3 linked regions of the Schizosaccharomyces pombe genome follow. Changing the gene in region 1 together with any one later gene gives a genetic interaction. Each region holds a gene or a part of one and is shown in the gene's direction. Other genes may lie near its edges.

Evidence for each region.
Region 2: mutations in ftp105 (region 1) and gid9 together harm fitness more than expected from each alone (negative genetic interaction), as found in Schizosaccharomyces pombe (2 studies listed by BioGRID).
Region 3: mutations in ftp105 (region 1) and gcn5 together harm fitness more than expected from each alone (negative genetic interaction), as found in Schizosaccharomyces pombe (2 studies listed by BioGRID).

The regions. Positions count from the first base shown.
Region 1 is NC_003424.3:1,784,488-1,794,168, forward strand, and holds ftp105 (Ubp5 interacting protein Ftp10), read left to right. Parts: upstream 1-1,882; 5' UTR 1,883-1,950; coding exon 1,951-1,970; exon of another isoform or gene 1,971-2,012; coding exon 2,013-2,055; exon of another isoform or gene 2,056-2,117; coding exon 2,118-2,150; exon of another isoform or gene 2,151-2,218; coding exon 2,219-2,865; intron 2,866-2,963; coding exon 2,964-3,171; intron 3,172-3,227; coding exon 3,228-3,605; intron 3,606-3,704; coding exon 3,705-3,959; exon of another isoform or gene 3,960-4,011; coding exon 4,012-5,205; 3' UTR 5,206-5,868; downstream 5,869-9,681. Other genes in the region: gus1 (glutamate-tRNA ligase), read right to left, coding at 1-598; protein saf5, read left to right, coding at 6,138-6,791; mrpl1 (mitochondrial 54S ribosomal protein uL1m), read right to left, coding at 6,995-7,756; poly(A)-binding protein Crp79, read right to left, coding at 8,106-9,464, 9,536-9,681. UniProt on the Schizosaccharomyces pombe protein: Required for the localization of ubp5 to the Golgi apparatus. Involved in detoxification of cadmium ion.
Region 2 is NC_003423.3:400,050-406,736, forward strand, and holds gid9 (ubiquitin ligase complex subunit), read left to right. Parts: upstream 1-2,484; 5' UTR 2,485-2,646; coding exon 2,647-2,874; exon of another isoform or gene 2,875-2,936; coding exon 2,937-3,458; exon of another isoform or gene 3,459-3,508; coding exon 3,509-3,973; 3' UTR 3,974-4,164; downstream 4,165-6,687. Other genes in the region: plg7 (1-alkyl-2-acetylglycerophosphocholine esterase), read right to left, coding at 1-635; tho4 (THO complex subunit), read right to left, coding at 1,116-1,634, 1,795-1,861, 1,968-2,092, 2,146-2,214, 2,256-2,300; SDA1 family protein, read right to left, coding at 4,213-6,372. UniProt on the Schizosaccharomyces pombe protein: Component of the GID E3 ligase complex recruiting N termini and catalyzing ubiquitination of proteins targeted for degradation.
Region 3 is NC_003424.3:4,971,531-4,978,221, forward strand, and holds gcn5 (SAGA complex histone acetyltransferase catalytic subunit Gcn5), read left to right. Parts: upstream 1-2,093; 5' UTR 2,094-2,585; coding exon 2,586-3,950; 3' UTR 3,951-4,168; downstream 4,169-6,691. Other genes in the region: OUT family ubiquitin-specific cysteine protease Otu2, read left to right, coding at 1-18, 65-607; SPOM_SPAC1952.04C (uncharacterized protein), read right to left, coding at 896-1,132, 1,322-1,392, 1,487-1,500, 1,714-1,805; SPOM_SPAC1952.06C (uncharacterized protein), read right to left, coding at 4,216-5,910.

The DNA.
Region 1 (9,681 bases):
GAAGACCGATCTCGTAGTTAGGACCAGAAGATTTTTGTTTTTTGCTAATATTAACTGCCTTGGTGAATTCTTCCATGGTGACACTCACGGCATTTTGAGAATCCATAAACTTGTACCAACGAGCAAGGTTGAAATACTGGCCAGTGCGTACGGCACCAGCTGCCATGTTGTTTGATTTTAAGGCACCCCAAATAGAAAAATCAGCAGAGGTGAGGGAATAACCCACAAAAAGAGAGCGCATAATTAAATGGTCGTCTAACTGAGCAAGAAGTGAAGAAAGCTCAAGAAAGTTGTGGTTACCAGCTAAGGCAGAGGCAGTTTCCACCCAACTCTCAACCAAAGAACGATCGTTTTCGCCAATGAAAAGTTTAGGATAGACTTGAGAGAAAGTCTGTAAAGCCAACTTGGAACCGAATACAGGAGAATCAGAGCCGTTAAGCTGAATGGAGACGTTCGATTCCTTGTTTTGTTTGTCTAATAAAGCAACGTCCTCATACTTGACGGAAATGCTTCCTGCACCAGACAGATTCACATAATTTGCACATGCAACTGCACCATAAGCAATGGGCTTTGCTTTTAATGCAACACTAACTGACATTTTCCCAAAACCGGTGGTGAAAATTGTCGAACTTGGTTCGTGGTAAGTTGGTGTCGAAGTGATTTTTAGGGTATTAGTGTATGGTAAAGGTATGTTTGCAAAACACTAAAAATCCAAACCAGAAAAATTCGAACGCAGTACGAAGTTGACCGAAAAAAAAGGATTCTATTTAAGTACAAATTAGATTATAGATAAGGAATTCAAGTTCATGTCTGACCTTGATTAATTTTCTTTCCAGCATTTTTCGCTAATCTGCTAATTTTATACAGATATGAACCGAAACCGAGGGTTTCTCGTTATACTGTTTACCATTTTCTAACGTAAATCGGTATACCGATAAGAAAAGAGAATAGATACATAATAACAGAGTGGAGTTGAAACAATCAGAAGAATGGAAGAAAAGTCATTTTTTTGTTAATAATTACCTGTTAATCAGCTATAGGATTAAAGGAAAAAGTAGGAAAAATCATCTACCAAGTTAATTAATAAGATCTTTATCATCTCATTTATTTAGTTATCTTGCTATTGACAATTTTGACGATATCAAATACATATATGACATTTCAAGTACATTGAGAGTAGAAAAAGAGCACCTTTTATAATTGAAATTATTATAAATTGGAAAAAAATCTCACTTCAAAATAGATAGCTGCTTTGTTTATTTTACAGAAATAGCTAAAATTTGAATACAGCCATTTATAATGTACTTCATTGTATATAATATAAGGAACTCTAACATATCACGGCATAGTCTAGCGATTCATCTACTGAACATGTAAATATATCATTGTTTGCTTCGACAGATGTCTCATGTGGTTTTGCCGCGTGAGTTATACAGTAGATGAATTGTTTACAGCTATACAGTTTCCTTGTTTTTTTTATAACTGAGAAACCTTTGAGGTTTATCTGATGGCACGGTAATTATGAGATAACGAGTAGAAACCAAAAACTCACAAACATTTAAATGCAGTTCAGCAGGTAGCTGAAGTCTCTTTGACAAGCTGTATTTCTTCCTTAATTCTCATTTCGTGATGGTAATCAATTGTTTTCCTTACCCTGCCTCCTAACAAATTGCAGTTTGCTAAAAAGTGTTTACCAAATAGTGAGTCATAGTGCATTGACTGTAAATGTGAAAATTCGTCGTAATGCTAACGATCATTAAATGTACGGTAGAGCTAACAAATTAACTCGAGCAATAATAAAATTTCGCAATATGAAATAATGCATCTTTTGGAAACTTAGCGCGCGAATAAAGTATACACATGGACGGGTCTACTAGTACCTAACGATTATCGATGAAGCTGCAGCGTTTGTCAAGAGCACTTTACGGTTTTCGCATCTAATTAGAGAATATGGGAGGCCAAGAGTCAAAGTAAGTAACATTGCGAAATTTTCGTATGAGCTAACTGTTTAGATTGGCATTTCAGCGAGGAATTGCAAGATTAGCTTCTCAACCGGTACGGTTTGTGTTTATGGGTGGATGATACGCTAAGAGAACATTGCAAGCTAATTCTAGTAGGATATACCGTTGGATGATGAAGTTTGGGTTTCTGTATGAAATTTTTTTTATTAACTTGTGTAAGACGCTTTTACTAATGTATTCGTTTTTATGTTTATTAGCTTTGGAGTGTACCTGAAAGTTGTCCAGAAGTTTACGATTTTTTTCCCCCAGGTCTCATTCGTGAGATGAGGGATCATGCCTTTGTAAACCTTGAAAAATTGCTGCTTGTATTGACATCTCGTTTGTTTGCGTTGAAAAATGACAAAAAGTTTCCAAATCCTGAAACGGCACCAGCGAGTGAAGCGTTAAACTGCATTCGCCTACTTACTAGAATCATTCCTTTTTTGAATGAGAAACTCGATTTAGAAGAATGGCATCAAAAGTTTTGGTGGAGCCTTAGAAAGAAGAGAAATTTACCAAAGGAAAATTCCGAATTAGACCTTAGTAATTTTCAAGACGATCTAGATTTTGAAAATTCCATCTCCCAAAAGAACGAATTCTCGCAGAAGTCTCCTTCAGTCCCATTATCTCCTGTGAGCACCTTTCCTGCTTCTTCCATCTCCCTTGATGCTTCTTCAGACGTCTCTGCCGCTGACGTATCAGTAGGTGGTTCTAGCACAATCAAAGAAATTGGCTCTATTGAAGAAACTTTTACTCATGAAAAAACTTTAATGGAGGAATTGCTGGACACCGTCTTTCGTTTGCTTTTTTGCAGAGGCTTTACGCTTCCTCTTTCAAGTCCTGAGCAATATGCATACATTATATGGTAAGTATATATGTATATATATATATATTTTTTTTTTGTTTTTCGTTTGCTTTTTTATATTTGGTTAAATGCAATGTGTTAACTAATCACTTTTGCAGGGAAAATGGAATTGGTACAACAGAAACCCAAGAGAAAACCACAAAGGAACTTGCGTTTAATCGCATTGAGGTTCTTCGTTTGCTGTTAGTATTGATTTCTAAAAGGCTGTATCGATCTTCTGAAGTAGCTTCTCACACCCTTACTTATTTGACCTGTGTAGCAAATAAGCAGCTTATACTAGTTTTTCTTTATTCCCTTATAAATACTGTAAGTTTTGGCTTAAAATTTACCTTTTTTTGTTGTACAACTAACTTAGTTTTTAGACTTTGCGACTTAGACCTGATAGCTGGAAGGCTTCGTATTCAACTCTAGTACCTTATAATGATTCTAGCATTGCACTCTCAAAACTTACTTCTCAAATCCTTTTGCTTTTTTTAGATCACACCCCTCATGAAACAACAGTCGAATACTTCAGACAGAGACTCAATCTTTCTCCTGGCGCTGCTATCGAAAATCAGTATAGATTATATTTTTCTCGACTTCAATTACAAGCTGATTATGAATTTTTAGTTAACGAACTATATCGGCTATTGAATGCACCAGTTTCCGCTATCTCTGCCTATATTTCAATTGTACAAAAGCCTAATATCGCGTTTCCGGAAATTATTTTGTTTCTTTGGCAAGCAATTTTATATAATAAAGTATGTTCAACGGTCCTTTTATATATATTACATTATTTGTACAGTTGTTTAATTTATGTTGTTACGCGTTCATTATATTTGCTAACTAATTTAAAACAGCGTTTCCGAGCATTTTTGATCACTTCTCCTTATGCTACGGAGTTTTTAACTTCTATTCAGTTTTATGCACTTAGATATCGTGAAGACAATGAACATTCCGGCCTTGTTCGCATTTGCCTTTTTATCGTTCATTATTTATCATGCGAGAAGGTTCTTTGTGAAAAACTAAATAGAAACTGTATGAATGCACAATCATTGATGTCTTCCCTTGGGTTCTCAGTCCCACCAATGTCTTATGCAGAGTTTTTGATTATCGTAAGATTCACGATTAATTGTTTATTTTAATTTTATTACTTACGCCTTCCAGTCTAGCTTTCATATTTCAGCAGTGAAGAGATCTCCGTTTAGCAGTTTATCTCCTGTTATATTGTTGACCATATGCAATATTGCACCATTTGTTGAAAACCTAAGTTTCGTTACGTGTGCCAAATTAATGCAACTCTGTTCATCTCTTTCATCTCCTCGGTTTCTTTTTCGTAATCCGCGCAATCATCTGCTTCTTGAATACCTGTTACAGGCTATTTCTAGTATAGTTGAAAACAAGTTTTCTCAAAACCCTAATCTCAGTTATTCTATTATTCGCCTCCAGCAAGTTTTTTTGAATCTTAATTCTATGAAACTTCCTGCCGTTGCTCAGACTAAATCACAGCCTTTAGTGGCCCTCAATTCGGAAGGAAGTAGTGATTTTGAATCTAAATCATCCGATAACACCTCCTTAGATGGAACACCACTCCAAAATACTGACTTTAAAAAAGTTGCTACCGTTGAAGATGATTCACCTTTCGATGAATTAGATAAATTTTCCTCCCCTTTTAGTAGCAGTAGTTCACGCGGTGGCTTATCACATATTTCGAGTAGAAATGTTTCGATTTCTGTCCCGACAGTCCTTCAAGATGTATTCTCAGATTCTCCATTGGTTCTGTCTAGAAAGTTGCGTGGGAAAATACCGGAAAATGTTTCTAGTTCAGAACTTATTAAAAAATGTGCATCCAATCCGTTTGGAAAAGATTTAGAAATTGACTCAAATTTGTTTGCACCTTCCAACTCGTGGTTTAATTCTTGGCATTCAAGACTTGAATTGGATTCTATTCTAGCCATTATATCTCAGTTTTCTCTACCTGTATACAAGAAAATGAATGAAGAATTATCAACTACTGACGAAGCTGTTAAACTATTAGCTAACTCTGTGCTAAATGATGTACATCCTCGAGTTCCCAATTTTCGCTACTTTATTTGGAGTGTCCCTATGAATAATTGGTTTCAAAGTCTTGTTTGGCTTTATACTTTGTCATTTGATGAAAAAGGTTTAATGGCTACTCCCTCTTTATTTACAACCTCTAAAGTGTACAAACAACATGGAAATATCATGAAAGTTGCATCTCCTGAAAACAGTTCTAACTCAATGGAGAATGCCACAAAATCTATACTTGACAAACTCGATTTGCTGTATTTACAGCTGCCAAGTAGTGTCAACCACGATTCCAGTTTACGCAACAAGTGATTCTTAAATTCAATGCGTAAATTAAAGTATACTTTTGTCCTAAAAAATATTTGAAGAAAACCCTGCATGCATGTTATGGTATCTTACTTTGAAAATTTATTGATTAAATTGTTCACTAAAAAATTATCTTGGAGGATTTGCATCCACATACTGCCATCATTTAATTATATACTGATGACCAGAATCTTGCCTTGCTAATTTTGATTTTTGAACTTTTCGATTTGTTTTCATTCTATTAATTAACTAAAAACTGGCTTGGAGAATCTTCTGCTCCAACCTTGTCACTAGCTTTAAAAAAGTCTTTCGAAGTTTGATTTGGAAAGTTGGTGTTTGAAAGTCAATCTCGTATACTTTAGAAAGACCCACCTTTATGAGAGAAACGATCCACTGATGCTAATTCATTACATGTATCCAAATCAATGTATAACCTTATATAGCAATGAATTGGTTGCTAAAAAATTCTTAGCTTTATTTCGCTACACTTATAAATCTGTTTACTATATAAAATAAAAAATCCAATTTCAAAAGTTTTGAGTCCCAATTTTTTGGGTAACGAGGATTACTTCATAAAGACCTTAGACCTTTCCTTTATTTTTTCCACAAAACTATTTATATTCATGAGTTTGTTTTGTAATTGCAATGAATAACTAGCTTGTCATTTACGAAAATTGCATATCAAAAGTATTTGAGTAAAATCGATATCCTGTTTGGCATAATGGTTCAATTTATAAAAAATTCGTGTGGTTAAGAGTAGAAATATATTTTCGATTTTGCGAAATGCTTAATATGCGAAGATATTGTATTTGAGTACTTCAAAAGAATACAACGCACAGTAAACCTTTTCTTTCAATAAATTATCAGGTAGAGGTGGCCTTATTACTGTTTTTTAATAATTTTTATGCTTAAATACCTATTGGAAGCAAGAAGTAATTATGATTACCAAAATTGACTCACTTCCAAAGGACCTAATTCGCAAAGTTGAAAATGGTGAAAAGTTGTTGCCAAATCAAGAAATCGTTTATTTTGAAGAAAAAACAGTCCCCTATAAAATTAGAAGTGATGAGGAAAGTTTTCCTTTGGGCAAATTGATAACTTTATTAGTAACTTCACAGAGCTTTATCCTTTTTGATGAAGAACAGAATTCTGGCTGGAAAATTCCATATGAAACCATTACTCTTCATGCGAAACAAAGCAAGGATAAGCCATATGTATATGTTCAATTAGAGGGTGAAGCCATTCGACCCTTGCTAGATCACATTCTTAAATTTGAACGGTCGTCAGGAACATTGCATGAAGCTCCTTCTACCGAAGATGAAAATGAATTCACAGATGATTTTTTAGAACTAACATTATATGTTACTGATGTTGATTCATGTTACCAGGCTCTTTGTACTTGCCAATCTCTACATCCGGACACTTTTTCCTCAGATAATGATGTTGAAAACGCGAGTATGGGAAACCCTATGTCCTTATTTTTTGATCCAAATCACCAGTGGGTTACGGCTGAAAACGTAGATACCTCAGCTTGTGATAACAGATTTGATTCTCCGGAATCGCCTGTTCTGAAATGGCATCGCACAGAGTAACTTTCATAATGTTGTATTCTAACGTTTCATTCATACTTTTTAAAAAGTAGTTTATGATAATAAATAAATATAAACAGGCTTCTAAATTTACTAGATAAAATATCATTACACATTTCACTAATTTGTACAAAATTAATCATGTAATACATATTACAAATGACAAGACTGTAGACTAAATTTCCCATGCAATAACATTTTAATCATTATTTATACTGGAGAGGAATTGCAATAGCATGTGAGGCGGAAAGATGAACATGCTTTACGGTAACTTTAACTTTTCCAGGCAGTTTGGCCAAAGTAAACCGAACATTTGATACAAGTGCTTCGATGTTTTCTTGTAGCTCCTTGTCGCTGAACCCTAGTTTTCCAACCGGCAAATTTATCGAGCCTGCATCATTTTGCCGATAGTCAACAGCTGTGAGGGCAGATTCAATGAGTGGCTTCAATTCATCTGATATAGTACCTCGTTTTATTGAAGGCATAAGACGTTTTGATCCTAATAATTTAGCAACTTGTGGTAGTAATTCTGCCGAGTTGGGATGAGCAAAGCACTTTGAAAATTCAAGGGGCTCTGTTTGAATTTTTTTTACTAAGTCTTCTGCACCAACATAGGTTGCACCCAATTTTAAAGCTTCATCTGCAGCTGCACCTTTAGCAAACACACAAATTTTAGGAGGCTCTTGAAATGGATGAGGAAAGGCAATTTGACCACGAGCTGACGGAGCGCGTCGATTACTTTTTAAAGCAATTGAAAGCATATAAGACCCAACATATGGAACAGAAATGCTCACAGATTTGAGATATTTTGTGGCTTCAGGAACTGTCATCGCAAGAGCGGGAAAATTGGATTTCTTGTTTAGTTGAGAAATAAACCTTTTGCAGAAACCCTTTTGATTTTTAAAATTTAAAAATTCATTATGTGACAATAATGTTTGCCGTTTACCTAACGCTATTAATGAACTCATGGTTTTTAATCTGGTTCGTCAAACTGTCACCAAGCTACTGGATGTCAGTCAATGAACCTGCTAAAATCATAAATCTCTAAACAAATCTGATCCAGCTGTCAACTTTCGAATTAATAAAGAATTATCTTTCAAATCAAATTTCCTTATAATGTTTTTGATTAAAGACTAAAAATAAACGGTTTCGTTTAAATTCCACGTTGTGGTAGTTGTAAGATACTGTAGGGTTATACTAGCAAATCCATCCGTTCACGATGTATATATTTTAAGGAGTTAAAAGTTTGTTCATCGGAGTTTTGAGGGATATAGCATTATGAATTTTGTTTCATAGTTATATCTTCACCGCATCTTGTTAAATCTGCGTCAACTGAATAGTTGTTGGTGAATTGTTGTTAACCTTTGTTGTTGATAAAAAATTTTCCTTATTTGAATCTTTAATATGATAGGAATTCATTTTTTGGATATTGGATGTAGCTTCTGGATAGCTGTCCATGTACCCGACAAGTGAAAGCATGTTCGTTGACTCATTACAGTCCTCATCTTGGAAATGTGAGGGCTCAACTGTTACGTACGTAAGAGTTGTACAGGTTGTTGCTCTTGCTCTTGGCACAAAGTATGCATTACTCAGCTTTTTGTTGTGAAGCATGTCTTGTATCTTCTTCAAGTTGGTGGCTGTTGAACCCATCTTAGCAGACCCTCGGTTATTTAGTTTTGTGTTAGCATGGAATACCAATGGTTTTAACAAGTTTCCTTGTTCTCCGTCATGGCTCAATTTTCCTGCTTCTTTCTTTATATCCAAGTTGCCTGATAACTGTCCACTAAGTTCCTTATTTTCTTGCTTACAGTTAACATATTCATTTGTCTGACTGGGTTCTTTGTTTTCACCAGTCTTAGGCTCATTCTTATTTTCAACCTTACTTGAAAGGGTCGTGGGATTCTCAGAGATTTTGTTTGTAGAAGACTCTATTGGCTTTCGGATGGTAACAGTAGAGCTTCTTTCTGGTTTGACGAACAAAGCTTTGTTGTCTTGCTGCGCTGTTTGTTCTGAAGTAGGTTTGTTTGCAAAAAATGCTTGCAATCTACGAATTCTGTCAGACTTTCGCTCCGCGAAGCAAACGAAAATCCTTTTTTTCCCAACCATCATTCCATTCAATGTGTCTTTGGCTCTAACGGCAGCCTCTATTTGACGAAACGCTACGAAACCATAACCTTTGGAGATTCCTGAATTTGGATAGCATGCTAACATGGAAGACAAAATCGACCCGAAGGGTGAGAATAAATCTTCCAGCTGACTCTTGCATGTGATGACGGTATCATCTAAATTTTTAACGTATAGATTTGAAGGGTCAATAGGAGAATTAGGGATACTTGGAGAGCTTTCACGTAAAGAGTCCCAATGCACGATTGACTGAGGTTTATTATCTGGGTTCCAAGCGGCTGGATGATTTTGCTGATTTGAAACACCGGTAGTTGAAACGCTACCCCATTGGCTTTTCTCCTTAGTTGGTGAGCCCATAATCCATGTCATCTTCGAACATGTAGCATTTTCGATATTTATTTGAGTTTTGTTAGCGTTTTCCGATGGGAAAGGCCATAAGCTTTCACCAGTCGGCGTTGTGGGAATTGACTTCACTGAAGAAGAGGCTTTATTTTTTATACTGACCTCTAAAATGCTTCCTTTGTATGGAACGTTATTTAATTTTTCTATTGCCTTAATAATGAGGTTAGTATCATGAAATAGATTATGCAAATATTGGGGTTTTCTCTTCATATTGAGCTTACATTTTGACATGATTCAACTGAATCCATAATCACTTCGCCATACCGGAACCCTCTTTGGTCAAGAAACTGGCTGACCGCCGTCCCTTTTACTACACCAGCCTGTTTAAAGTGGTTATATAAGTCAATCGGTGTGACTTCGGCAGGTA
Region 2 (6,687 bases), on another chromosome or scaffold:
ATATTTCGAATCATCTGGAGGGCTATTTGGATTTCCTGCTGTCGAAATAAAAGTCGTTCATTCTGAAGCACAACCGTAGCGTCTGCATAAAAGTCGCTTATCTCGCGATACTGAACAACGTACGGGGGTTCTTCAGGATGTAATGGATCACGCACTGTAGATATGATGGCCGAGTTATCTCTATGCTCCATGGCCAAGACGACGATACCATAGGAAGCGATTGTACCACATAACGAAGAATACACATTTCTCGAGCCAACCAATCCATGGCTGAAGATAAATACTGGCAGTTTCCCATTGTTCGGTGGATGAAACAACTCTCCTTTGTAGACGGGCAAAGCTAAGTTGGTCAAACCAGAAGCGAACGCACGAAGAAGCCACCAACGAAAACCTTTCGCAACTTCGGGTATACCCTCATGGAATGGTAACCAAAGCTCATCGGTGCGAGGCTCTACATCTTTTGTTGGGTCCAATGGATAAAAAATGCGTACTTTTACGGTTCTTAGTTTGTGTTCAATGGTTTTATATTCACATCGAAATTCCTCTGGAACACTCAGCTCTAAGACTAAAGACCCCACAGGCAAGGGACCACAGTAGGCAGGTAATTGCTTTTTCGAAGAAAATCCCAATCCCATTTCTACCTAACAAATAAGAATGTAATGTAGAAATATATAAATTTATTTTATTTTAAAGAATGAAAGATTGTGTCAAAAACGATTCAATCAAATTACAAGAGCACAGTGATGATGTATTGTTAATTGCTATGATCACTGTAGTAGGAATAGAATGGAATAATGCCAGAAACAAAAACAAAATATCTCTTTCGTTAACAAGCACTTATAAACATAAATAAAAAAAATAAAATTAATAAATTTTTGGCCTTGCAAGGTAATATGAATCTGTCTGCTGCAAATTTTAATTTTTGGTACGATTCGTACGATTGTGGTAGAAGAAGGAAGACGATGGAAATTGACGAGCATCTATATATAAAGTAAGGGGTTATGATGAAAGATGTCCTTTTAGCCGGTTCGTTTTTATAATGTACAAATCAAAGCAATTGACTCAATAATCAACTTTTGGCATAGGAAAAGGGTTACTTGCACAGCAATTCGAGCTTAAACCGCTTCCATTTGGAGGTCCATCTCCTCGGTCAAATTACTATCTTTTGAAGGAGCAACAGGCTCGTTTTTCTCATGAGCATTGGCTATTGACGGTGTGAAATCCTGTGATGAGTGAGATGACACAGTTGAAGCAGCGTGAAATGACATTGCGTATTCGTCAAGTTCTTTGTCTAAATCTTCGTGTGAAATTGAATTATTAGAAGACTTTTTTGAAGAAGAACGAAATGATCTGTCGTCTTTTTTTGAAGAACGGTTGAATCCTCGGTTCGAACGAGAAGACCGGCTTGGTTTGCGGGCTGAATGTGGCATGTCGGAAATCCGATCGAATAAGGAAGGTGGAGACTTTTTCGAAATTTGAATTTCGGAGCCCTTCAAGTTCGTAGATTGAAGCGTCTTCTGGGCATCTTCAGCATCTTGGGAAGTTTCAAAGTAAACATCGCAGGAGCCTTCAGAGCGACCTGCACGATCATAGTTCATAATCACGCGAATTGGATGGAAATTTTCAAACAAAGACTTAAGAAAAGGTTAGTTTATTAATAAAAAAAGCGATTCGAAATCGGAACAAAGCTCTACTTAGCTTGACAGGGAGATTTTTTGTCAGGTTCGTTTCATAATCTTCAATCGAAAACTAAAAGCGAGGCTTTTGAAAACATAGTAAACATATATCACTTACCAAAACATCTTTTTCCAAAACCTGATAATGTAAGTTTTCCACACGAACCCCAAATCGATTTTCTGAGCTAAGATTGCTGTGTTAGTATATAATGATAATAACAGTGCATGTAGACTAAGAGCTAATAGAGTAATAAAAAAGTTTACAGCTTATCTTATAAATTCAAAACATACTGTTGTCTTTTCTGTAGGTGAGTGGTCCTTGGATGAGCATCCTGCTCTTGATCCAAGTCATGCTGCCACGGGCCATCGTCTGGACTAGAGTTGTGTTCTTTTGATGCTCTTTTGAATTTGTAGGTCTTAAAAAGTAAAAAATTAGTAAATAAACACTTAATCCTCGAAATTAGCATACCAATCGCGATTTTTTGGAAATACGATTTTGAGATCCCCTTCGCCGACTGTGCTTGTGATCAAAACCATTCTAGGATTGTTAAAACAAATATCGAAAATAAAAAAATTTACCGTTCTTTCATTTATAATTTCGTCCAAGGACTTTTCCAGCGACATTTGAAAATTGGTACTTGGCACGAAAATGTCGACTGGTAAAAATTAACCCGGGGCATTCCAAAAAGGAGATTTCCATACCAATTGCAGATTTTCCTGACATAAATTAATATATGCACCTCTTTTTTTATTGTTTTTTAGCTCTCCTTATTTTTCATTCATCTTGCACTACGGTCCTAGAAAGTGTATCTTTCGCCAACAACCCATCGTCTTTCTGCAATTGCTGTTTTCCTTACATTTAAACAAATTCTTCTAATTACTTTCTTATTCTTAAAATATTCAATATTCTTTAGTTGATTTAAATTTTTGGGTCCATCTACCAATAGTTTGTTAGACTTTGCCTTCAAACATGAATTTTCGTCCAGAGCAGCAATATATACTTGAAAAGCCTGGTATTCTTCTCTCTTTTGAGCAATTGCGCATTAACTTCAAACACATTTTGCGGCACTTGGAGCATGAATCGCATGTGATCAATTCCACATTGACAACGTTGATCAGTCAAGAGAATGCATCAATGGATGAAAAAATAGAAAAAATAGATTCTCTCCTTTCAAGAGTCAGTACTGTAAAGAAGAAGGTAAGTTTGATTGATTCTTTTTTTGAGTTGGATATTTGTAACTTACATGGTTCTTTGTGTAGATGAAGCATTTGCATGATTGTGAAGCTCTGTTTATCAAGCAAACTAAGTCACGACTGTTGTTCATGAATCGTCTTCAAGGAATTCGTGACATGGAATCTGCGGATTTTTTAGATTGGTCAAGAGTCAGACTGAATCGTTTAGTTGCTGATTATATGATGGCGAATGGGTACCATGGGGCAGCTGCTCTACTTTGTAAAGACTCTCAGTTGGAGAATTTGGTTGATTTAGGCATATATAAGCGTTATCAGCTCATTCACGATTCCATTCTTCAACAGGAGCTCAAAGAGGTTTTGTCTTGGTGTTCGGAGCATCGAGCAATTTTAAAAAAAAATAATAGTACATTAGAGCTTGAGGTCCGACTACAGAGATTTATAGAATTAATAAAAAGTAAAAAACTTTGCCAAGCCATTGCATTCGCCAAAGCGCACTTCGGTACTTGGGCAAATGAACATCCTGCTCGACTACAGCTAGCGGCTGCCCTACTAGCTTTTCCTGAATTTACGAATGGTTCACCATATTCGGTAAGTTTACATTGAGAGACCTCTGCTCTTAGCTTATACTGACAAATTAGTTGCTTCTATCCGATGACCGATGGGAATATTTGGCTTCCTTGTTTACCAGCAATTTTACTGCCGTTCATAATATACCGTCTGTACCTCTTTTACATGCATTGTTAGCTGCTGGTCTATCTTCCCTGAAAACCCCGTTGTGTTATCTTGACGCGAATGATGATAATCCTTTAGCATTACAATCCCAGACTGTGAAACAATGCCCTGTATGTACGCCCTGCTTAAATGACCTTGGCAAAGCTCTTCCTTATGCCCATATTACTCAGTCTGCGATAGTGGATTCTCTGACAGGCGAAGGACTTGACAGCGACAATTGTCCTGTTGCTTTCCCGAACGGTCGAGTTTATGGTATCCAGAGCCTCATAAGTTGGAACGAAGCTAATGGGACTAGAGAAGGATTTCTTAGAGACCCTTATTCTGGCAAAGAGTTTCCATTCCAACTTCTTCGTAAAGTTTATGTGGTTTGATACTGTTTATTCTATAACGCATTTTCTGTGAGTTAAGGATTTACACTTTTTATGATGACGCTACGAGATTTATATGTTTATCTTTAATAATGATAGTAATTTATATTATTAAATTCACTTCCAGTATCCACCTTTACCATAGGTTATCCCTCAATCATGTAAACCCAAAACCTAATTAAATATACCTATATAAGATGCCCCAAAAGGAAAAGCATAAACCGAATATAGTAATCAATATCTTACTTTATTTTCCTTTTTTCACGAGCTACGTGTTCTCGTAAAACTTTTTGCTTTTGAACAAGACTTCGTCCAGCTTTACCTTTTAATTTATGCTTAATCATCATAAAGTTCTTGTTACGTTGTTTTCTTTTGTTAGAAAGACTTGTTGGGTTAAAACCTGCCTTTTTAGATGAAAATTTATCACGTCCTTCACGTCCTTCCATGACACTAGCAATACGGGCTTCTCGGTCGTTCTTAGCCTTTTTTCTAGGACCTTCAATTTCATCAGCCTCAACGGCATCGTCTGGCCTCTTTAAAGAACGCTTAGGTCCATTGACGAGACGATCAACACCCGCTTGCTCCCTAAGCTCTTCCAACTTTTTCAAGTCATTAGGTGTCAAAATAGATTGAGACGCAAGCTCGGTCATTCTATCAACTAGTTCCTTTTGTGAAGAAGATCCTTTCTCATCTGATTCTTTTCTTGCAGTGGCCTTCTCTTCCTCTTCATCGCTGTCACTTAATTCAATATTGTCATCACTATCGACATCGATCCAGCCACCACTATCATCAGAATTCTGTCCATCTTCTGAAACTTCCCAATTATCCCAATCGTCTCCATTTTCTCCTTCTTCTCCGTGTTCAGCTTTATACTGAGCTAAAAGTTCCAATCCTTGGATTCCGTGGGTGACGTTTAACTCCTCACCATACTTCAAAGGTGTACGATCTTTCATCTCAATAGAAGCAAGCTTACCACGATCCTTTCTTTTCAACATGTCGGGAGCAACTTCACGATACAGAGTGATGAGACTACGACTAGCCATCATAACACCTTTATCCTTACTAGATTTGTACTCAGTTAGATCCTGAAGAAGGTCGGGAGTCATTGCCAAAGGCGCACGAGCACAAACTTCACGAATAGCATTAATACCAGCACAAACAACCTCATTGGCGACACCTGAAGTAACGAATTCGTCGGCAATTTTTCTAACTAACGGTTCAAGCGCATCTGGAGGTACGAATTCATGGGAAGCTTGAGCGAGACATGCTAAAAACTGAGTAACGTCTCTCTGGTGGGGTGTCAAATATTTCATTAAAAAAGAATAAAGACCTAGGACTGTAAGTTTGTGAGAACCTACCAATCTGGTAAGGAGTCGAAGGACCACCAGTTTTTGATCCATTGACAGACGGCTTTTTGAGCTAGCCAAGTGCTTTTCAAAAAGTTCTTCGGCAAATCCTTGAGGGTCATGAAGAAGCTGTAAAGCCGGAAAGTTAACGTTTGTGGGGACGTTTTGTTTTCCTCGCTCTTTCTTCTTTACAACTGCGCGAGCACGAAGCAAAGCAGCCTCACGGGATTTTGTCTTTTTATTTACATTAGCTTGATGCAAAAGCTTGGAAACATCTGGACCCTCATCATCAGATTCCTCCTCCTCTTCTTGATTGTCAGCACCTAAGAAAAAGTAAATCCCTGCAAGCATAACTTTGGGGTTTGATGATAGTGCGGCAGATTTCATGATGTTTACGGCACGTGCATCACCGGACCAAACATTCCTTTTCCATAAATCACGAACCATTTTGACAGCCCAAACACCTGATAATTCACTTGCTGAATATTCTCGCTTTTGTCCAGAATAATCAGTATGTGTTGCTGAACCACTACCCGAACCGTCAACCAAAGTAAACAGAGCAGACTGAACAGCTTTATTCAACTTATCATTTTTGGCTTGTTTATTGGCATTCCGAATGGTGAGAGATACCTGTTGATACAAAAGTTCGCGAACACCACGAGTAGGATTTTCACGGAAAAGCGGGAAAAAACATTGTAGTAATGTAATAGGAGATATTACTGTTTTATTTTTTAACAGAACAAGGCATAAAACGATTTTTTCACAAAGTTCGAAAGGGAATATTGTGTGGTTTTTTTGTAATAGCTCAATTAATTCGCTAGGAAAGTCGGCAGTAACATCATGATAATAATTACAAGTTTGGGAAATGAAATCGATTAATGAACAAAATTCGGAAATGTCTGAAGATGGATTAACAAGAAAAATTTCGCGCGCGGTTTCATAGTGATTCCATTGCTGCAAAAATTCTTCTCTGTAGGATTTTGGATCCTTTTTGACCAGATGTTGTAGATGAGGAAGATTGTTAGGTAAAACAGCAGCAGTGCGTCTTTTCACCATATTAATGTATCTTTGTGAAAATATAAATCATAAACTAGTACAAATAATCAATTAGTGTAGCAATACCAGTAACAGGCGAAAAAAGCCCTTAAAAAAATTTTTAACCGGGATATAATAAACAACCAGCAAGCCCAGGTCTAGCAATATAGACTGCTTATTTTTAATAAGTATTAATCAATTCTATTAAAAAAAGTGATAGACGAGTAAATGGGATATTGCAATCACAATTTATAACTGAAAAATGAAACAAAAAAATTAACGGTAGAAATTTAAGCTAAGAAGCAAATTTTCAATAATACTTATGTAAACTTTAGG
Region 3 (6,691 bases), 3.2 Mb from region 1:
AGACAAAAAGAGCGACTTGTAAGTGCTTAACTTTTGACGAATTATCACTAACAAAGTTAATTAGGAACGACGTAAAGCAGAGATGAAAAAAATGTCTGAGCAGGCAGAGCTAGAGTCAGAAAAAATGGCTGATCTCAAAAATGAAGAGAAAAAAAAGTTTTCAAAAATCCTTGAGGAAGCTGGACTTGTTGCAGTCGATATACCAGCGGATGGAAATTGTTTATTTGCTTCCATTTCACATCAGTTAAATTATCATCATAATGTTAAACTAAATAGCCAAGCTCTTCGTAATAAATCCGCTGATTATGTATTAAAGCACTGCGAACAGTTTGAAGGCTTTTTGCTAGACGAAGAATCTGGAGAAGTTTTGCCAGTATCCGATTATTGTAACGAAATTCGAAACAATAGCAAATGGGGAAGTGATATTGAAATACAGGCATTAGCAAACTCTCTTGAGGTTCCTGTTCATGTCTACAACACAGAAGGTCCAGTTTTAAAGTTTAACCCCTCAACGGTCAAGTTCGAAAAACCGTTGTGTATAGCATATTACCAGCATTTGTTTGGGCTTGGCGCTCACTATAATAGTTTATTATATCGGGACAATTAAAAAGATCTAATGAGATGCTTTAGATAGGTTTTTATCCTTTGGTTTATTAGCTTCCTTCCTCGCCGGAAACCATTTAAAAAGGCTGTGCCTTACGAGTTAGATTATATGAATAATATTTATGAATTAAAACTCTTCTGTATTCTATTAATCAAAAAAAAAAATTAGCCATTATTATCTATCATATCCAGTCATATAGTATGCACAATAAATATTACCAAACATGCTTAGAAAGCTTCATCAGGGAAGCATTAGAAACGGTAGAACAATAAATAGAATTAAGGTAGAACATTACTTGTAGCTGTAAGGGGGTGGTGCCTCATCACTTTTTCTTGGAGGCGGTATATGTGGTTGAGGACGAACGTTAGGAATATCGGTTTGTTGCGAACTTGAGCCAGGAAAAAATGCATGCTGTTGAGCACTCGCCTCAGGTCTTTCGGGAGTAGGAAGATCTTCACGCCTGCGCCTTTGATCAATCATGGCCGAATCTACTGGTTCATACCACCCACAATGAGAACAACGAAGTACCTGCTCTGAGTTAGCAAGTGAGTGCTTATTAGTTGGACAGCAAAATAATCCCAACTTTCCCTGGAAAGCATGTAACATTGAAGATTGAAGAATGGCTTAGAAAATAACAAACAAGGTCTGTCAGGTTTCCAAACAATGATAAGTAGAAAGGGTCAACTACATAACATATGCTTTCTTGAATTCCCTTACCTTACTCGTATAAACCGGGAGAACAGGCAAAACGATGAGTGCTAAAGATTTAACCAAACGATATACCCGAACTAAAAACCAAAGTTTTACGTTAACATTAATAAAACAACCCAAAGAAAGAGCAATTGCCTTCATGCAACTACACCACTTATATGTGTCTCATACCAGTTTTATTTTGGCTAAAAAGAAAGTATTAGCAAAAAGTGCTGATGAAAAGAATAGAAGGAAAACAAGAAGACTGCTAGAAACTATTTTTAAATGACAAATTTTAATAAAAAACAAGTGCGTAATTTCTGAAAACAAAATGTTTCTACAATTGTTCCATTTCCACTTCGCCATTTAAACAATGTACTCAATCCACTTGTTTTAACACTAATTCATTGATTTCATACCATACAGGACATGTCAGTAAGACGTGCTTATATTTGCTATTGACTTTCCATATGTCTTGAACATTCAGCGGTATCGGCAAGAAGAGGAACATCTCACGTTAAGAGTCTTAAAATCTTCTTTAAAAAAAAAGAAAAGAAGTTGGATATTATAATGAATAATTCGAGTTAAATCCAAAATATTCGTTTTAGCAGAGTCACTCCATTAGTACGTAGACTAAGCCTCACAGTTAGTGTAATATCACAGAAAATATTTTCGTTAGCTTTATCGCTAAATACATAAAAGAATATCATCACAAAAAGAGGTATTGCTAACGAACTACGGTGCGTCTCTATATTTAGAAGCAACACCAATAACTTCAAAAAATGAAAGCAGAAAATTCGTAGAGAAGAAATTTTCTAATCTTGCATCCCAAGTCAAATCATGTATTTGTGTCTTTAATTAGTAAATATTAGGATAATCGTTGATTTGAAGTATTAAAAAATTGATTGTATTTTGGAGCGCAAATCTGAGATTTTTTTTATAGATTAAAAAATTCTCCTTGATACGGTCATTTTCGGTTGACTTGTGTTCAAACTCTTTCTATAAAAAGAGGTTCTTTTTCTAAGAGAATCCCTGCCGAGTTTCCTTAAGTTTTAGAAAGGTAAAGGGCTGGTCGACGTCTTTTCACATTGTTGGTGCCAAAAACAAAATTTTCGAGACAAATAACTGGGTTCGTGGTGTATATTTTAACAAATTATCGTTTATTTTAATTTTCTGTATTTCGTTATTATATACCGTTTTTTCGTGCTCGTTTCATCTTGTATCGTTCTTGACAATTTCTGTATCTTCACTTTTTGGATTTATTTGTTTGGATGCGTGGCATAGAATAATCATGTCGAATTCGTTAAATGATCAAACACGACCACCCGATTCAAGTGTTGTAGACAGTACATCTTCCAACTTTCCAAATGCGTCAAACGATAGTGTACATGATAAACCGGTAAAACAGGACGAACAATCCAATCCAAATGTTCGCGAAGCAATTGCTAATTCCGATGGACAAGAATCTTTAGCTGTAAAGGAAAACAAGGATACGGAAAGCTCATCCTCTCATTTCGTACCTAACGGAGTTTCAAATTCTAAAAAGAGAAAGCTCGTGGCTACAGATTTAGATGTTGATTTTGATATTAGTAGTGTACGAGTTACTGAAAAGCCATCTGTATTAGAAGAAAAAAGCGGCGTTATTCAATTTCGTGTTGTTTCTAACGACGACACCGCCGACAGTATGATCATGTTGACTGGTTTAAAAAACATATTTATGAAACAACTTCCTAAAATGCCAAAAGAATACATTACGCGGCTAATTTATGATCGAAACCATCTTTCAATGACCATTGTCAAAGATAATTTACATGTAGTGGGCGGTATTACTTATCGTCCATTTGAACAACGAGGATTTGCCGAAATTGTATTTTGTGCGATTGCTTCCAATGAACAGGTTCGTGGTTATGGTTCTCATTTAATGAATCATTTAAAGGATTATGTCCGTGGAACTACTACAATTCAGCACTTCTTGACATATGCAGATAACTATGCAATCGGGTATTTTAAAAAACAAGGATTTACTAAGGAAATTACTCTTGACAAGTCTATATGGGTTGGCTATATTAAGGATTACGAAGGTGGCACACTTATGCAATGCACCATGATTCCAAAAATAAAGTATTTAGAAGCTAATCTGATTTTGGCTATTCAGAAAGCTGCTGTTGTTTCCAAAATTAACAGGATCACTCGGTCGAACGTTGTTTATCCTGGTTTAGACGTATTCAAAGATGGTCCAGCTCATATAGAGCCGTCTCAAGTTCCTGGGTTGATGGAAGTTGGATGGTGCAAGGAAATGGAAGAGCTCTCCAAAAAGCCCAGACCTAAACCTTTTTTTGCCGTTTTGGAAATGCTTTTTACAGAAATGCAAAATCATCCGTCTTCCTGGCCCTTTATGCAACCGGTTAGTAAAGAGGATGTACCCGATTATTACGAAGTTATTGAACACCCCATGGACCTTTCGACTATGGAATTTCGGTTGCGTAACAACCAGTATGAGTCTGTAGAGGAATTTATTCGGGATGCAAAATATATATTTGATAATTGCCGTTCTTACAATGACTCCAACACGACTTACTATAAAAATGCCGATAGATTGGAAAAGTTTTTCCAGAAAAAACTTCGTGAAACTGAGTATTCACACTTAGCCGATTAATCATTTACATTTATTATCATCGAAACGTCTATTCCGAAGTTTTATTGATTATAACATATACATTTCACCTTTTAATTTTTTACACGAATATCTTTTGTGCCTTCCAAATATGCTGGCATATCAAGAACTGCTAGTGTTTAATTTTTAGTTTTTTTGTTTAAAAATATATATAATTCTATAATACCAAACACTCTTTATGTTCCATAATAACAAATGTACAACTCATTAAATTGAAAATATGTTATCAGAACAAGTCATGATTTTATTACACAGATGCTTGCATAGATCCAAGTAAAACAGTAACCATAGGTTTTTCGTCAATTCTGTAGTAAGAGTCGTTGGCCTCCACCTCTTCGGACTCCACCGTCGGTTCTTCAAGGTTTTCATGATAATTTTTTAGAGCATCAGTCAACTCATCAATTGGAATGGATGCTTCGGAAAACAGCATCTTAATTTTTTTCAATGTCACTGTATTTTCAACGCATAACCACGAAAGGATAAGAACTGTAGATTGGAAAGGAAACAGTCCATGATCAATTTGTTGGAGAAACCATTTGGTACTCTTTTCCTCCGAATCAGGACTAAAATCAAGTTTTCTGCTTTGGTCAATACCTTTGAGTTGGATTCTCAAGCGATCGTAAATTTTGAAAAGGCGTTTCATTTTTTCAAAGTCATTTTCAATGAATTTCCGTAAAAAGCGCACCCTTTCTACGGTGTCAGCAGGTAAAGATCGAAATAAAGATGCCAGAATAGCTAATATATGTTCCAGAGTATCGGCTGCAGATATTTTCATAAACGCAGCAAAAATATATTTCAAACCGCCTGCTTCTACAAATCGAATACAATAAGGAGTGGAAAGAGGCCCAAATAAAAGATAGTCCAAAACTTTGATTGTAGAATAACGGCTTTTTCCTTTATGTTTCATATTTAGTATGCATAATTCAATACCTTCCTCTTTTAGAAAAAGGGATTTTCCTTTCGTTTCTTGAACCAGACTACATAAGCAATCAAACACGTTTTCCATCATTTCTTCTTCTGATCCTTGGGTTGGATCACGAAGCCTATAAGGACTGATCCGGCGCAACAAAAGATCAATCCCATTCAAGTTGCACACTTTCAATTTAGCTTCTTTTGAATTAGCGAGAATGATAGCTAAAATTTCAACAGCGTACTGCAAATTAGTTGATATAGAAGTTTCATCAACAGACGATCTACTCAGTAACCATTCTACCAATGTTGTGTTTTCAACTATTATTGAACAAATGCTATTGTCCACAGATAATAAATTCTCCATAAGAGAGAGCACACAATATACTCCATGTCGGTCTTCCTCATTAGATTCGTCAAACCTTTTGATTGTATTTGAAAGCAAAGGAAGCAAACCAGAATCTATAAGGGAAGTAAATAAGGAGTTTAATGCGTCTGGGTCAACATCCTCGTCAGTCAGTTCTATCAATAGCTCCAATACCGTAATAGTAATATCCGCATTTTCATGGTTCATTAATTCTAAAAACGTGGAAACACAATCTAATTTAAGGAAAATGGGTATGAGGATAGGATACTCTGAAAGCACATTGAAGCTTCGAATTTCCAGATCAAGATCTGCCTCTGATTCTATAAACCTTTGAGGAGAAGTAGAATACTTGATGCGTAACTCCTGATTATTATTAATTGTTTTTTCAAGTCGTACTACCATGCGCTTCAATTCAGTAGGAGTCAATGAAGCAGGTTCTTCCTGGGCTTCCTGTTCGTCTAAAAAGTCTAAAACGGTTTTTTCACTCTTTTTAAGCCCACTTCCAAAAAATCTACCTCCTTCCTCGTCAAATTCTTCATTCTCCTCATCGCTATTCTCTTCAGCGAGTCTTCTGCGACTACTAGCTGGCTCCAAAGAGTCTGCTTCCTCAGGGTTCCTTTTCTTATTTGTTTCCTCGGTATTTTTAAAAATTGAATCTACATCCATTTAGAATAATGTATTTTTTATGCGCCAGTTTCCTTTTCAAATTGAATATATGAAAACCGTCTGATACAAAATAAATAATTTTGACAAACTTATATTTTATAGCCGCATCAAGTAAAATAAAAGCCTTATGAAAAGACTATCGTGCAATTCAATTATAACGCCTGACTCGTTCCTAAAATTCCTCTCGTTTACCAGTTCAAGTAAAAGCTAGGTAAGATGTAGGCATGTACAAAGTGTATCAAAAGTGAAAACCAGAATCTAAGCTTGGAAAAAAATAATAACAGCAAGTAAATTCCCCTCTGTTTTATAAATATTATACAACTCTTATATCCAAGAAAGGAGAGATTGGAAGAAGGATAAAAAGTGTTTATTTAAGAGAAGAGAAGCTAAATAAAGTGCATGCAGTTAACTCGAAATTTTTTAGGTTGATTAAATAAGGAAGAAATTAGATCCATCTTGTATTACCTTTCTTTTAATTGTAGCAATGACTTTTCAAAAGAGGGTGTAAAAATGACATCCTAACTGTATATATGATAAAATTACAATTATGGATTTTCTAAAGCAATTTAAATTTAGCTATTATCACTAAAACAGTTCGGCAATTTGCAATATTTGTCTAATAAATGAACCATTTGTTTCATAAACAATCAAATTCATTAAGCTACAAATCCTTAATTGTATCTTTAGTTTTGAGTCAATCAACTTACTGGGATCCTATAGCTTTTTTGAATATCATTTGGTAAATTCAAATATGGCTCTTAAAACTTGTATTTAATTTGAT